3 linked regions of the Saccharomyces cerevisiae S288C genome follow. The protein of the gene in region 2 purifies or fractionates together with the protein of the main gene of each other region. This does not show direct contact. Each region holds a gene or a part of one and is shown on either strand. Other genes may lie near its edges.

The links.
Region 1: the proteins of CHD1 (region 2) and CKA2 purify together in Saccharomyces cerevisiae (affinity purification with mass spectrometry; 7 studies listed by BioGRID). This does not show direct contact.
Region 3: the proteins of CHD1 (region 2) and CKB1 purify together in Saccharomyces cerevisiae (affinity purification with mass spectrometry, with the first as the bait; 5 studies listed by BioGRID). This does not show direct contact.

What each region holds. Positions count from the first base shown.
Region 1 is NC_001147.6:439,124-443,053, reverse strand, and holds CKA2 (casein kinase 2 catalytic subunit CKA2), read right to left. Parts: upstream 1,521-3,930; coding exon 501-1,520; downstream 1-500. Other genes in the region: YOR062C (uncharacterized protein), read left to right, coding at 1-329; SLD7 (Sld7p), read left to right, coding at 1,891-2,664; LPL1 (putative hydrolase), read left to right, coding at 2,796-3,930. UniProt on the Saccharomyces cerevisiae protein: Catalytic subunit of a constitutively active serine/threonine-protein kinase complex that phosphorylates a large number of substrates containing acidic residues C-terminal to the phosphorylated serine or threonine.
Region 2 is NC_001137.3:503,395-510,757, reverse strand, and holds CHD1 (chromatin-remodeling ATPase CHD1), read right to left. Parts: upstream 5,367-7,363; coding exon 960-5,366; downstream 1-959. Other genes in the region: PAB1 (polyadenylate-binding protein), read right to left, coding at 1-385; GCG1 (gamma-glutamylcyclotransferase), read left to right, coding at 6,976-7,363. UniProt on the Saccharomyces cerevisiae protein: ATP-dependent chromatin-remodeling factor which functions as substrate recognition component of the transcription regulatory histone acetylation (HAT) complexes SAGA and SLIK. It recognizes H3K4me.
Region 3 is NC_001139.9:455,851-459,492, reverse strand, and holds CKB1 (casein kinase 2 regulatory subunit CKB1), read right to left. Parts: upstream 1,338-3,642; coding exon 501-1,337; downstream 1-500. Other genes in the region: J-type chaperone JAC1, read left to right, coding at 1-383; GET complex subunit GET1, read left to right, coding at 1,623-2,330; protein kinase ALK1, read right to left, coding at 2,426-3,642. UniProt on the Saccharomyces cerevisiae protein: Regulatory subunit of casein kinase II/CK2.

The DNA of each region.
Region 1 (3,930 bases), on a different chromosome or scaffold from region 2:
AAGGCAGCGTATTTTACTCAAAAGGTAAATGGCTCTCTCAGCGTTCAATATCATTCGATGACACTGTTCGTAGGCGAGATATTGACAAACGTGGGAGATTTCGTGAATCATGTGTTCTAATAAATGATGTAGAACAATTCCAAAACTATTCCATTGTCTGGGACGAGAGTAGACATCGCTACCGTCGGCAGGCACTTCCAGACACGTACGATTACGAGCATCTCTATCCCAATGGCGACGAAACTCCTCGGAACACGCCTCACGACAATATAATAATTCATCAAAACTTGCATAGCATTACGGAAGGCTCTTATATCTATATAAAGTGATTTTCTGGTCATATAATAATCTACATTCGTTGTTAAATAGAGTTTGCAATTTAATATTCACATTAAGGATATTCTCTAATATCAAGCTACAAAAAAGGAAAACCCCTGCTTTTTATAAATGGAAATCAGTGGTGGAAAAAGAATTGCCTTGCTAAGAGTATTGTTGTCCAATTATTCAAACTTCGTTTTGAAAAACTTATGATCCATAGCCTCCTTTGCTGTTAATCTTTCTTGATGGTCATACCTTAATAAATTGTCGATTAAATCAACCACTTCAGGAACAGCTAATTTGGTCTCGGAGGTTATAAAGTGTGTCCACGATTTTTTTGTAAAGTCTCTCATAATGTTGTCGTATTCAGATGGTAAGTGCAACCCGTACTTACCCAAATAGCCTAACAGTTCCTTGGTTCCTAGTACTGTGGCAATCTTTACCAGTTGATCTGGATTAGACGACCCTTTGAAAAAAGGTTCTTTTTTGAAGACAATAGCTGCTAGCATGCATCCTACTGACCATAAGTCTAGGGAGTAGTCATATTGGTTCAAGTTTACTAAAAGTTCTGGTCCCTTGTGGTAACGCGAAGCGACACGAACGTTGTAATCTACACCTGGATGGTAGAACTCCGCCAGGCCCCAATCGATCAGCCTTAGTTTACGTTCCGTAGGATCAATCATGACATTCTGAGGCTTTACGTCTCTGTGCATTATGCCCATGGAGTGACAGTAGTCTAACGCAATCAATAATTGCGTGAAATAATACTGGATGTCAGGAAGTTTGAATGTAGGATATAAAGTTCTGAAATCAACATTTTTGATTTCCTCAAAGATCAAAGCAGGTATTTTGGAGTCAGCGTCTTGTACTATATCATAAAGGCCAACAACATTGGGGCCGCCTGTTAGATTGGTCAGAATTTTCAACTCTCTATAAATTTTTTTCATTTTAACTGGTTTTAAAACTTTAATAACACACTTCTGGTTGTTTACAATACATCTACCGCTGAACACTTCGGAATATTTCCCTCTTCCAATTTTGTTGATAATTTCGTAATTGGAAATCTTTCCCCAATCGATGGTCACCCCTTGTTCGTAGTCCCAGTATTCTTGTGGTCTCTCCTCGCAGGCATTCTTGTACACCCTAGCTACAGAGTAGACTCTATTAGATTTCTGGTTCAATGTTGACGGAGGTAATGGCATTCTGTTTCTTCTATTCTTTTAGGTTTATTGTTCCTTCTATTTCCCTGAGACCTTACAACTCTATGATGTTTTTTTAATTACTTTTTATTTTTTAGCAATCATACAAACTCCAACAAATGTGTGTGCCCGTTGTTTCCCAATTCAGGTTAAAAAGGTTGACGATGCTTTATTCTTCTTTTTATAACTTCCACCTAGATAAGATCGTTGGAAATTTTTCGATCGTCTGTTTGCTTTGCCAGGTTCGGGCGAAAAGCGGGCTACGCAAGGAAATTTTTTTCTTTGAGGCCTGATAAAGGCCTGTTGGCAGGTAACTAAGAAATGATAGACTGCCTTGAAAGGGGACAGCATTCACCAATTCGCCTGACTTTTGATGTCACGGAAATTATGCACACTAAATTTTACTCTTAGCGGAAAGCAGGGAAGTTTGGTCATTAGGGATATCCAACTTTGGAGCAATCGACCTACAGCAAGTAAATCAACTTCAGAGTTGAGGGGACAATTCATTCAGTATGTAGATCTCGCAAAACTGCCTTTGTGGGTCCGCTCCACAAATATGAATACATATAGATGTTATAGTACCAGTGCAACCGCACAGGCTTACTTCAAATCAAAACTAAGGAACGCGAATCGTGGCATTGTCATTGAATTGTTTGACAAGGTCGATCAGCGATCGCAGGAGCCAGCATACTTGATTATATTTCGAGAGAACACAGAGTTAAACTGCTTTCAAGTGGATCTAACAATGAAGCATGAGTTTGATGGCCAGGTCACCAAATTGAAGCAAGATATTGGAAAGACAAGGGCCTCCGTATCAAAGGAAGGTAGTATTGATATAATAATACAACAATCTCAACAAAGGAAGATCGGAACGAAAACGGAAGTGTATCGCAACGTGCATATTAATGACAAACGGCTTCAATTCAATGAAACTTTGTCCAAGCTAATTTTGGGTGGCCTCCGACTTCGAGGTATTTCTAATTCTATTACAGACTATCAAAAGTTATACAAGATAACGTTTGATGCAGCTGAATTTACGCACAGGGATGAATTAAAACGCATTTCGATGGGATCTGGTGAAGAGGTTTCGTTTGAATCATTGCAGGAAACTGTGGAAACTCTTCTGAAGCTCTTTACCAAATCATGATCAACGGGGATTTTCAGTATATAAGATCAAAATGAAAAACAAAGATAATAAAGAAAGGGTGGCAACTCTTTACTGCAATAATCGGTAGAAAACTTCGTGTGATCAACCATATATATTATACAGCGCTTCAGATGACTTCGGATAAACACCTTTTTGTGCTGATTCACGGGCTATGGGGTAACTATACTCATATGGAATCTATGAGGACAATTTTATCCACTACATTAAAAAAGGAAGATGTTAACGATGATATGATATATTTTTTACCAAAGCAGAATGCCATGTTTAAGACGTTTGATGGTATCGAAATCATTGGGTACAGGACATTGATTGAAGTTTGTGAATTTATCCGAGATTATAAAGACGGGAAAATCACCAAACTAAGCGTAATGGGATATTCGCAAGGCGGATTAGTGGCCCGATTTATGATCGGTAAGATGTTGACCGAATTTAAAGAACTGTTCGAGGATATTGAACCACAATTATTCATTACAATGGCAACGCCTCATTTGGGGGTAGAGTTTTACAATCCTACGGGCATAGCATATAAAAGTGCGTTATATAGTGCGCTGAGGACCTTGGGATCTACTATTTTAGGTAAAAGCGGGAGAGAAATGTTTATCGCAAATTCTAGTAACAATATATTGGTGAAATTGAGCCAGGGTGAGTACCTTGAAGCACTCTCGCTATTTAAATGGAGGATAGCGTTTGCGAATGTCAAAAATGACCGTACGGTAGCCTTCTATACGGCGTTTATTACGGATTGCGACCCATTTATAGATTTTGACAACAAATTGAAATATACATTCGAAGAAAAGATTCCGGGATCTGGCTATAAAGGAATATTGCCTAAGATTGTCGACCTAAACGCTTTAAACGTTAACAGCCATGCTCCTACTAAACCGACCAAGACTTATAAAAAGTGGGGACGCACTATTCTTATTATACTAGTTGCAACATTCTTAATTCTCCCAATAGCCCTGGTTATGAATGGCCTGGGAACCGCTTATAGTTATATTGTTACTTGCAAGTACCGCAAAATGCTCTCTAATGGCATTCTTCACAATGAGGTCAGAGGAAAATTAGGATTGACGGAGCAACTGAAAGGCTATGTTACAGATGCATACGGGTCCATCATAAATTCGGCTTTAGATATGGATGCGAACTATGAAGCAAGTAATAGTAATCTTGTAAACGAAGAAGAGCTTCCTTGGAAGGAATTTATCCAAAAATACACAACTATAAATGATGGTGTTTGGAAATCTA
Region 2 (7,363 bases):
AGATGTTACCAGAACCCTTCTTTCTCAATGATGGGTCACGTTGAGACCACATAATACGGCATAATCTACCCTTGATTGGAGTGTAGTTCAATTGCTCAATTGCTTTTCTGCCGGCTTCATGGTCGTTAAAGTTAACATAAGCATAGCCCAAAGAGGTCTTAGTGATGGCATCACGACAGACACGAATGGAGGAGACTGAACCGATTGGAGAGAAGATATCATATAAGTGGGCTTCGGAAACAGAAGGTTCTAAGTCACCAACATATAATGATGCAGAAGAGTTTTCAACAGATTGGCTTTCTGAACCAGTGGCGGCTTGCTTTTGGTCATCTTGAATATTCAAGTTTTCCAATTGTTCAGCTGTCTTATCAGTAATATCAGCCATTTTATTTTTATTGGTTTTTTAGTTTTTTTTGGATTTTTTTTTTTGAGTTTTTATTGAATAAAAAGCCAGATATTAGGTGGTGGTACCAGGGCCTGCTCTATGCTTCAAACGGTTATTAAGTAAAAATGTTACTTCGTAGCTCACTGTCCTAAAAATACAAAATCAAAACTAAAGAATTTTACACAAGAAAGAAGAGATATAAAATACAAGATGACACTTTCTATTAAGTAAAACAGAAACCTCTTTCCTTGGAACTGGAGCGAAAGAGAACAATTGTCCCAGAACTTGCGATGGTGATGGCAAAAAGCGCAAAAAAAATTTTCTTTGTAAAAAGGAAAGAGAAAAAAAAAAAGAAATAATCTTCGATTAACAGTTTTCGTTAAACATGATTGATCTATCTGCTTTGTGGCTTCATACAGTATGACCTCTTATATGGTCATAGTAGTAACTAATTAAGCATTATTACTTTACGGTGCCCTATAGTACACACACTTACACGCAAATATATATACATAAATACGTTTATAGTTATGGGGGGAAGGAACAATGGAAAATGTGGTGAAGAAAAATTGTTTCACTTCTTTTGAGACTCTGTTATCTTGTCGTACATTGCCATCAGCTTTGTACTCTTAACGTCGGCAGGCCAAAAGTTGGCACTGTAAGACCAAAGGTGCTTGCGATATTTTTCTGGGCTTGCCTTTCTCGATGAGCCCTTTTGCGATTCGATATGATTACCAATCGTAGTTAATTCGGTCTTCAAAATTTTGGCCCATTCCTTACGATCAAGACTTTTGCCGCCTCTTCTAAGTCGCTTCAAAGAAGTACGTATTGCACTCATTGTGTGTCGACAGTCTTCTTCATCCATGCTGTCATATTCTTTTTCGTGAGCGCTGCCGCTACTGGGGTTGCTTGATTGCCTTGTACCATTATCTCTGGAAACCTTGGACTTTAATGGGGGCGTGGGGCTGTTTGGAGACAATCTCGTGTTATTTATTAAGGCGGCAGGACCTTTTGGGAGGGCTTTCATACGTTTGCTTGGCGGGCCATTTGCAGGCTCAGAACTTGTAATTTCTGGAGTCATGGATTTGCTGTGATTAGCAGGTTTTCTTTGTCTCTTTTTGGAAGGACCAGTAGGGAGTTTTTTCGAGCCTATGTCAGCACTGGGACTCTTTGTATTTAGGCCTCCTCTTAAGAAGGATAATAGATAATCAACTCTTCTGCCCAAGTGAATGGCACCAGGTACTTTTTTTGAAGAACCCGTTATTCCCTTTCCTTTCTTTGAGGGTGTTGGTGTTGTATCAGAGGAGCTTGCCGACTTTTTTGCTACCGGATTGTGAACTTCATTCAAGAATATTTTATCAGTAATGCCTAGAAATGGATCGTCTCTTATTTGTGTCCAGGAACCATATCCATATTTGAAAACACCAATCAATAGCTTCTCATCTTCCTCTTTCGTCCAATTAGATGACCAATTCTGTACAGGCTTAGGTGTGTTGTTGCCTAGGCTAAACTTTAATGGATCATCTTTGTAGTTTGAATTTATCAAGTTCTTCAAGTACTTTAAATCCTCCACTCTACTTAGTAAAGATTCGGCGTTTAAAGATTTAACACCTTTAAAGTTGAAAAGGACGGCTTTCTTTTCTCTTTTTTTTAAAGATAATCTAGTCAACGGATTATCCTTTGGTTGGTTCTCTGCTTTTATTTCACCGCTTTTTAGCTTTGCTCTATAGGCGGTAGCATGCTTCTCAAGTTTCTCCAAGATTTCTTTTCTATTTTTCTCTTCCTCGTGTACACAGTCTTTAGCTGCTTCCATCATTTCATCGTAAGTTTCACCGTATTTTTCAAATGATTTGACCGGCAGGGTTCCATCTGCAATCAACTCGTCCAAAATCTCCTTTAGGTTGCCAAATTTTAAAATAGCTTTATACAAAGCTCTCACCTCCGATTCACCAATAGAGTCCATGTCATTAGCTCTTGCTCTTCTTCTAGAAGATCTGGAAGTACTATCGTCGTCAGAATCTGAGTTTGCGGCGGTCCCATCACCATTAACACTGTTTTTTATTTTTTTTAGGGCGTTATCCCTTCTATTCATCATTTCAAGTTGTTCTTTAACATATTCTTCATCCTTGCGTTTCTGCTCTTCATCTTGGAGTTTTTTTAGTTCTTCTTCTGGAATGATATCATCCCAATCTATATCAGCTTTATAATCAGTCACTTCGAATTGCTTCAAAAACTCTTCACCGCCAAGATGCGACTCTCCTAAGTCTGGAGTAGTAACGTGATCCTCTGCATGATTCAAAACATCATCCAAGTTAAGATCCTCCAATTTTTTCTGGTTGTCTGTGGCAGTGAACATATTGCCTGCACCGAACTTCAGGATTGCCGATAATTCACCGGCATTTGGTTCATTCTTCTTAGTGTATTTGTTACCATCTGTCACTCCAAGAGAAATAATAGCATATTCCAGAATCATTTTCTTCCGTGCTCTTTCTAATACCTCTTCCTCTACTGTGTCTTTTGAAACCAACCTATACACCATAACGTGATTTTTTTGGCCAATACGATGAGCTCTAGCCATTGCTTGTAAATCGGCTTGCGGATTCCAATCGGAATCAAAAATCACAACGGTATCGGCGGTCATTAAGTTGATACCCAAACCACCAGCACGAGTAGAAAGTAAAAATACGAAGTCGTTTGAATCCGGAGAGTTGAAATGATCAATAGATATCCTTCTTTGAGCAGATGGTACTGTACCATCTAACCTTTGGAAGTTAATACCTTTAATGGATAAATAGTCGCCTAAAATGTCAAGCATTCTGACCATTTGTGAAAAAATCAACACGCGGTGCCCATCTTTCTTCAATCTGGTCAATAATTGGTCTAAAAGAACCATCTTACCCGAAGACATGATCAAACCTCTTAGTACGTTTTCTCGAGTCATTTTACCATCCCCAAATTTCTGTAAGACGCGCTCTTCAGCATTATCGAAGAGATATGGATGGTTCGATGCCTTTTTCAACTCGTTCATAATATTCAGTAAAGAGAAATGACCCCCTTTAGCTCCAGCAGTTAAAGCAGAGTAGTTTTTAGTCAGAATATTTTTATAGTACTCAGTCTGTACGTCGGACAATTCAACTCTTAAAATACGCTCTGTCTTTGATGGAAGTGATTTTTCTACGTCTTTCTTCAACCGACGAAGAATAAAAGGCTGTATTCTTCGGTGTAAATCATGAATATATTCTTCTTGCTCTTCATCTTGGTTTTCAAAATCAATCTCCTGATCAATCGTAAACCTTCCGGGCATTAGGAAATTAACCAACGCAGCTAACTCTTTAATATTATTCTGAAGAGGTGTGCCTGTGATTAACATACGGTTGGCGACCTTGAAACTGTTTAATGATTCATAAAGGGATGATTCAGCATTTTTTAGTCTATGAGCTTCGTCAACGGCCATAAATTGCCATTTTATACTTCCTAATTCAGCACGATCCTTTAAGATGTACTCGTATGTTGTTAATAAAACATTAAATTTCATTGTTTTTTTCCCTTTTGCCCTTGGATTGGTGTAAAATTCATATTCTCGAATGGTATCTCTTGATTTTTGGTTGCCCATATAGCATATACAATTCAAATCAGGCGCCCATTTCTCAAAAGTATCCAACCAGGCAGGCATTGTCGATAAAGGAACGACAATGATGTGAGGTCCGTTTTGTCTACGAGCAAATATCAGCCAACTGATAAAGGCGACAGTCTGGACCGTTTTTCCCAGGCCCATCTCATCTGCCAGTATACCATTATCACCTTTGGACCACAAAAATGCCATCCAATTAATACCAGTTAGTTGAAAATCTCTTAATTCCCCACCTTTAATGAACGGAGGTTGCACGCTTAACTTCTCAAAACGCGGTCTCTGTGAAGTATAATTACTGGAATATTGTGGGAGGATCTTAGAGTTTTCTCTGTTTTGAAAATGTTTCACTTGTTCAGGTGCCAATTTCACGATATCTGTGGCATTCTCCCAAGTAGCCTCGTCGTAATTTAGACGACGCCATTTAACTAAATACTGTAATTGTGAGGTGCCGTCTTCCAACGAAGCACGTTGGCTATCAATAATCCTTTCTGGCACGTGGAACTCCTCAAATTCATCAAGCCTACGTTCACGTTCCATGTCCATGATCTCTATATCTTCGGCGGTAACGTATGGATCTAATCTTACTTGTTGATCTTCGATGATGAATTGCTTACAATAGTTGTCCAACCTCTTCAATCCACGGACTTGGCCAATGGATTCATAAGTTTCCCAGGTATTGTGGAGATGAGATTCATCTGTCCATTTGATTAAGAATTCATAATTTTCCTTGCAGTTATTGAGGTCAGGAACAGTCTTTTCCAAGACCTTTCCTTCTTCCAAAGATGTCTTTAGTCTGTGATTGATAACAATATCAATACCGTGGAAGTCCTCTGGTTGAGGATTGGCAGATGCTTCATGCACATTTTCCTCTGATAAAGCCTCCTCGGAACCATAGTCATCTTCAGATTCTAAGAGGTCATCATCGCTATAATCGATGTTATAATTTACCGTTTTGTTTTGACGATTAGAAAACCTTGTTGGTATTTTCACTGTAGATTGCTTTTCAGATTGAGATTTTGGCTTAGATTTAGACTTTGATTTTGTTCTTGATTTCGGTTTTGATCGATTTTGTTTTATAGGAGAGCCATAATAATCATCATCTTCTTCAAAATCTTCCTCATCTTCGTCCTCTCCAGAATCTTCTTCGCCTTCTTCATCTTCAAATTCGTCTTCGTCGTCTTCAATCGTGGTCATTCTCTTCCTCCTCGACTGTTTAATATTATCTTCATCGTCCTCATCATCGCTATCGTTGAAGTAGTTTTGTTGATGCGCAGCAGCTCTATGTGACCGCCTCAGCCCATATAGTTCAGGATTTTGCAGCACTTCAGTAGAAATATCCTTGGCTGCCATTATAAGTGAGAATTAAATTAGAAAAGGTTCTGCTTTGAATTGGGTATAGGTTTAAAGAAATAACGGAAAAGTCTTGAAGCAAATGAAAAATAAAAACCTTTGAGAAACTTTGTCGTTAGTGAATAGGTAAGCTAGTGGAACTCAAGTACGAATTAAAGAAAATGATGGTCGATGTTTAGGCTTATTCAATTTTCTCCTTTGGAAGAAACAAGTATGTGTATATTCACAAAAGAAGTAACGGAAAAGAGAAGGTGACTTCTGCAAGCTTGCTTATCTTGACTTGATAACCCCAAACTTTTATCAACTTGACTTAGATGTCCGGACAAGAATACGATAGTACTAACCAGATATAATGAGGACAAGATTCTTCTACACAATGTTTCTCGTGGTACAGTTTCGAAATTGAAAAGAAGGAAAGGAAAAAAAGTAAAATTATATAACGAGAGGGTAACAGTATGATAATCGACTACTGAACTATGATCTGTTCGACAAGTGTTGCATATTACATGTCTTTAATGGTATCAATAATTGACATAATCTTATATCAGTAATGATATCAGGAAAGAACTTTGTAATGTTTGGGAACATATGTCCTAGTGTAGGGATGGGATGTGATAAGGATCGTGGGATGTTAAATTTATTCTCTTAGATGAAATTGCCTACACCTTCTGGACGGTTGATAATTAAGTTTTCAACTTTAGCGTGTTTCATTTTCAAAATATTGAAGAAGTGGCCTACCAGTGATATCCAACCGATGCGCGAGCAACACGCAAGCCCTTGGCTTGTGAGCAGCGTTTAGCTGACCGTATTACGCATTGATGGGCTGAGGAAAACATACAGGCAATCATGTCTTTTGATTTTGGCAACGTATGATCTTTTACCGTATATGGGGCAGTAACATATCATCGAAGTAAAAGCTAAAACAAAGAAAGTTAAAAAAAATAAACGTACAACATAGAAGCTTACCTTTCAAGGATATCTCAAAAGTATCAAATATATCACGGTGACTTCGGCCTGCGAAAGAAGATTTTCCTCGAACGGTGAAATACTGAGATGATCCATAAAGTAATGAGAGTGTTCTCGCTTGTATGGTTCGCTGACCTATGCCACCCGTGTTTCTCCATTGCGCAGAGGCTTCCATATTGACCACTACGTAGTGGCAACTTAAAACAATCAAAAATCGTTTTCTTCCTTAGGACTTGACTGCTTCGTCTTAAGATTATTGCCAGAAATTGAAGACAGAAAACATCAGTGAGAGGGGAGGGAGAGAGTGTCGCAACGTATGACCTCTTTTAAAGGCGTATGTCAACCAGCGGTTATCAATAGTTCCCTTGTGTTAAGGGAAGCTTGGAAGTTGTCACCAACACCTAGCAGACTTTTCTTCGACGTCCTCCCTAGTGGTTTATATGAAGAGAATGAGAAAATTTGCCACTCCAGTAATTTTTCCTTTTTTTTTTTTTTGGATTCGCCAAGGAGCGGGATAATTGGTATTCTGGGTAACGCTAAAAGGTAAGGTCAATATTAGCTATGAGTTTAGTCTCGAGGTGATTTAACCTTGGAAGAAGCAATCACGACGTTGGTTTGGGCTTATAAAAAGTTGTATGGCCAAATGACTAATGACAACAGTGGTATCTGGGTCCTAGGCTACGGATCTCTGATTTACAAGCCTCCGTCTCATTACACGCATAGAATACCGGCAATAATTCACGGTTTTGCTCGTCGGTTCTGGCAAAGTTCCACTGATCATAGGGGTACACCTGCAAACCCAGGAAGAGTGGCCACACTAATCCCGTATGAGGATATTATAAGGCAAACTGCCTTCTTGAAGAATGTGAATTTGTATAGTGAAAGTGCACCTATCCAGGATCCCGACGACTTAGTCACCATAGGGGTAGTGTATTATATACCACCAGAACATGCTCAAGAGGTTAGAGAGTATTTGAACGTAAGAGAACAAAACGGGTACACTCTACATGAGGTTGAGGTGCATCTAGAAA
Region 3 (3,642 bases), on a different chromosome or scaffold from region 2:
AGTCATCAACTCTTAATCAAGCTTACCATACTCTCAAAGATCCCCTTAGAAGGTCACAATATATGCTAAAACTCTTGCGCAATATCGATTTGACGCAAGAACAGACCTCAAATGAAGTAACTACCAGTGATCCACAGTTACTATTGAAAGTTCTAGACATCCATGATGAATTATCCCAGATGGACGACGAAGCTGGTGTGAAGCTGCTTGAAAAGCAAAACAAGGAAAGAATTCAAGATATTGAAGCCCAGTTGGGACAATGCTACAATGACAAGGATTACGCCGCCGCAGTGAAGTTGACCGTGGAGCTAAAGTACTGGTACAACTTGGCCAAGGCATTCAAAGACTGGGCTCCAGGAAAACAATTGGAAATGAATCACTAAAGTACTCCAAAGTGGTAATAGTAATAATAATAATAGTGGTGATATAAAAACTGAAACAATGTAAATAGGTAAAGTACATATGTATATGGTAGGGCAAAGAGGAAAATAAATCAAGGGTTAAACCGCCGGTGTCTCGAACTCGCATTTGGCAAATTCTTCCCAGTCCTCCTCCGTGGATGGATATTGTCTCAACCACTTCATTCTAGGACCAGATACTGCCTCATCATTTATCCTGAACCCAAAAACTTTCAACTCGTAGGACTCTTTACTTTTCCTTTCCACATACTCTTCCAATTCTTTGAAATGTTTCAAGAACACACCAGGGAAGCTTGTCCCCCAAAATGCACCTTCTAAGCACAGGAATCTAGATGATTGGGGAAGATACAAGTCCTGACAACTGGGACAGTACAACCTTACGGTGTGTTTCCCAACTGTATCGCTCAACCCACAAGGCAGCAACTGCATGCCATTACAATAGTAACGGGGGCACGTTCCAAATTCCTTGTGGTCGAATTTTTCAGCCATTGCTTGCAGGCCTGGCTTGGTCAGAATAAATCTTGCATGTATCAATCCGTATAACTGTTCTGCTGCGTGCTCGATAATACTCTTGTTCACCACTGGCGACTTGTTTCTCCTTTTGCCTTCATCATGACCGTCATTACTCTGCATCTCTTGATCCACTTCGTCTTCTTCCACCACGTCGTCTTCGTCCTCTTCTTCATCACTCATAGCCTCCAAATCCAATATCAAATCCAGAGCTTTCCGGTAGTGGGGTACCTCTTGGGATAACGAGGTCATATTGAAATCATCCTCGATAAACTCTGTCGGGACTTGGCAGAAGTACTCGTGACCAAATCTGGAACAGAACGATGGAATCCACTCGTCATAAGCTCCACTATCCTCGTCGTCTGAGGACCCTGTACGTGAATAGTCTTCCACAAACTCTTGCGACATAGTTTTCTCTCTCTTTTAGCTAATGGTCGCTTCTAAATACCAATTCACCAATTTACAGATTCGGATTAACGTCACTATCGTGTTTTGCACGTACCAACTACCTCCTGTTTTTGTCATTAGACACTTACCAGTTGATGTTTTCACTTTTTCTTTCCTTCCCAAGAGTGAAAAAAAATCACAGAGTAGTGGTATATACAACAATACCTCGGGATAAAAAGACCAGATAAAAGAAAGCAGGACAGTTTGCAATCCTTGAACTACGTCTAGTTGATTGAAATAGGAGAAATGCATTGGGCAGCAGCGGTAGCGATATTCTTTATTGTGGTCACAAAGTTTCTACAGTATACAAACAAATACCACGAGAAATGGATCTCTAAATTTGCACCAGGAAATGAATTATCCAAAAAATACTTAGCCAAGGTCAAAGAACGTCACGAATTAAAAGAATTCAACAACTCTATCTCCGCGCAGGATAATTATGCCAAATGGACTAAGAACAATAGAAAATTGGACTCGTTAGATAAAGAAATAAATAACTTGAAGGACGAAATACAATCAGAAAATAAAGCCTTTCAGGCCCATCTTCACAAACTCAGGTTATTGGCATTGACGGTGCCATTTTTTGTGTTTAAGATTATGTACGGCAAGACACCAGTTTACAAGTTGAGTTCCTCGACTAGCACCTTGTTCCCTACGTTTGTAAGTGGTGTTTGGTCTCAAGGCTGGTTATATGTTCTCTTGCATCCTCTAAGGACTATTTCTCAGAAATGGCATATAATGGAGGGCAAATTTGGTGCTTCCAAGTTTGATGATATGGCTTTACAGAGTGTCTCTTTGGGAATCTGGGTTTGGGCATTGATGAATGTCATCAACGGCGTGGAATTTATCGTTAAGCAATTGTTTTTGACTCCCAAAATGGAAGCACCTGCATCTGTGGAGACTCAAGAGGAGAAAGCCTTGGATGCTGTCGACGATGCCATTATTTTAGATTAGTGTTATTACATTATGTACGTATATATAATATGTTTATGTATTGGAGTATACAATAGAAAGAAAATGAAATATAAATGTCAACATTCCTATTTGTTTTATTTATAAAGTTTTAGTAAATCTCCAGTATTCTTAATGTCCTCCGTCTCCAATCTTTTGAATAACTGCCCCCCTCTTTTATGAACTGCCAAGTTCATTTCCAAATGGTTTATCACCCTTGCCATTTTATCCCTGTTTGCATCATTCTTACCAAGCTTCCTGTCACCAAACTTTAGTAAAACGCGTGACAGGTAATATAACCAATACAAATTTGTCATGGGCTCAAAAGCTGACGCGTCCATGTTCAACAAGATCCGCATACTTTGATAGATTTCAAACTCAAATTGATACTGGTATTCGTTTATTTTACTCTTGTCTTTCCCATTTAGAAAAAAGAGTGGATGATCTAGCCGTAGATATAAAACATCATCTTGAGGAGTTTGCAATCTACTGCATTTAAAATCAATAATTGTTATATTCCCATTACCATCTATCAAAATATTATCCAAAGTAAGATTACGATGTTCAAATTTCAAATTTTTTTCCAACCCATGAATTATACCAGCACAAGACCAAAAAATCTTTAGAATCTGCTTCCAGTTTTTCAGTGAGATTAACGAAATTGGGGTACCGTGATCTTTGAATAGTAAGTACAAATACAACCCCCCATTTGCCTCTTTAACAACAAAACTTTTCAATAGTTGCGGTATGCCATCAAATTTTTGTTGCATGATTTTGAGTTTTTCCAGTTCCTGCAAAGATAAGAACTTTCTATCCCATGTAATGTCATCAATAGTACCGAGAGAAACTTTTTTACAGATTACTTCACCAATTTGCCAAACATTTGATGTTAATTGTATTGATGACAAATGGTTTACATCGTTGATTAAAGGCAATACATCTCCTTTTGCGGGGTTTAAAATTCTCTTTATATCACAATTTAGTAAAATCTGTCTTAGAAGTGTCTCATCATGATCATTTTTGTTCATCGGTAAAGATGATTTAGAATTTAATGAGAGTAATGAGGTCGAATATCTTAATTTGTTCTGAATTTTATCACGGGAAACTTGGTCCGGTACAGGTAACGATATTCGGTGACTCAACGTAGAATTTTTGGAACTGTAGCTACAAGAGTCATCATTGCTGCTATTAGTTGCTGTCGATGGTGCTATCATGGAGGACTTTCCTTTGTTTCTTTTGAATTTTTGTAAGGATGCATGTGAACTTTTGTGCTTCAAACTTGATTGCGAATTCCTTTTCTTCAACACGTTCAAAG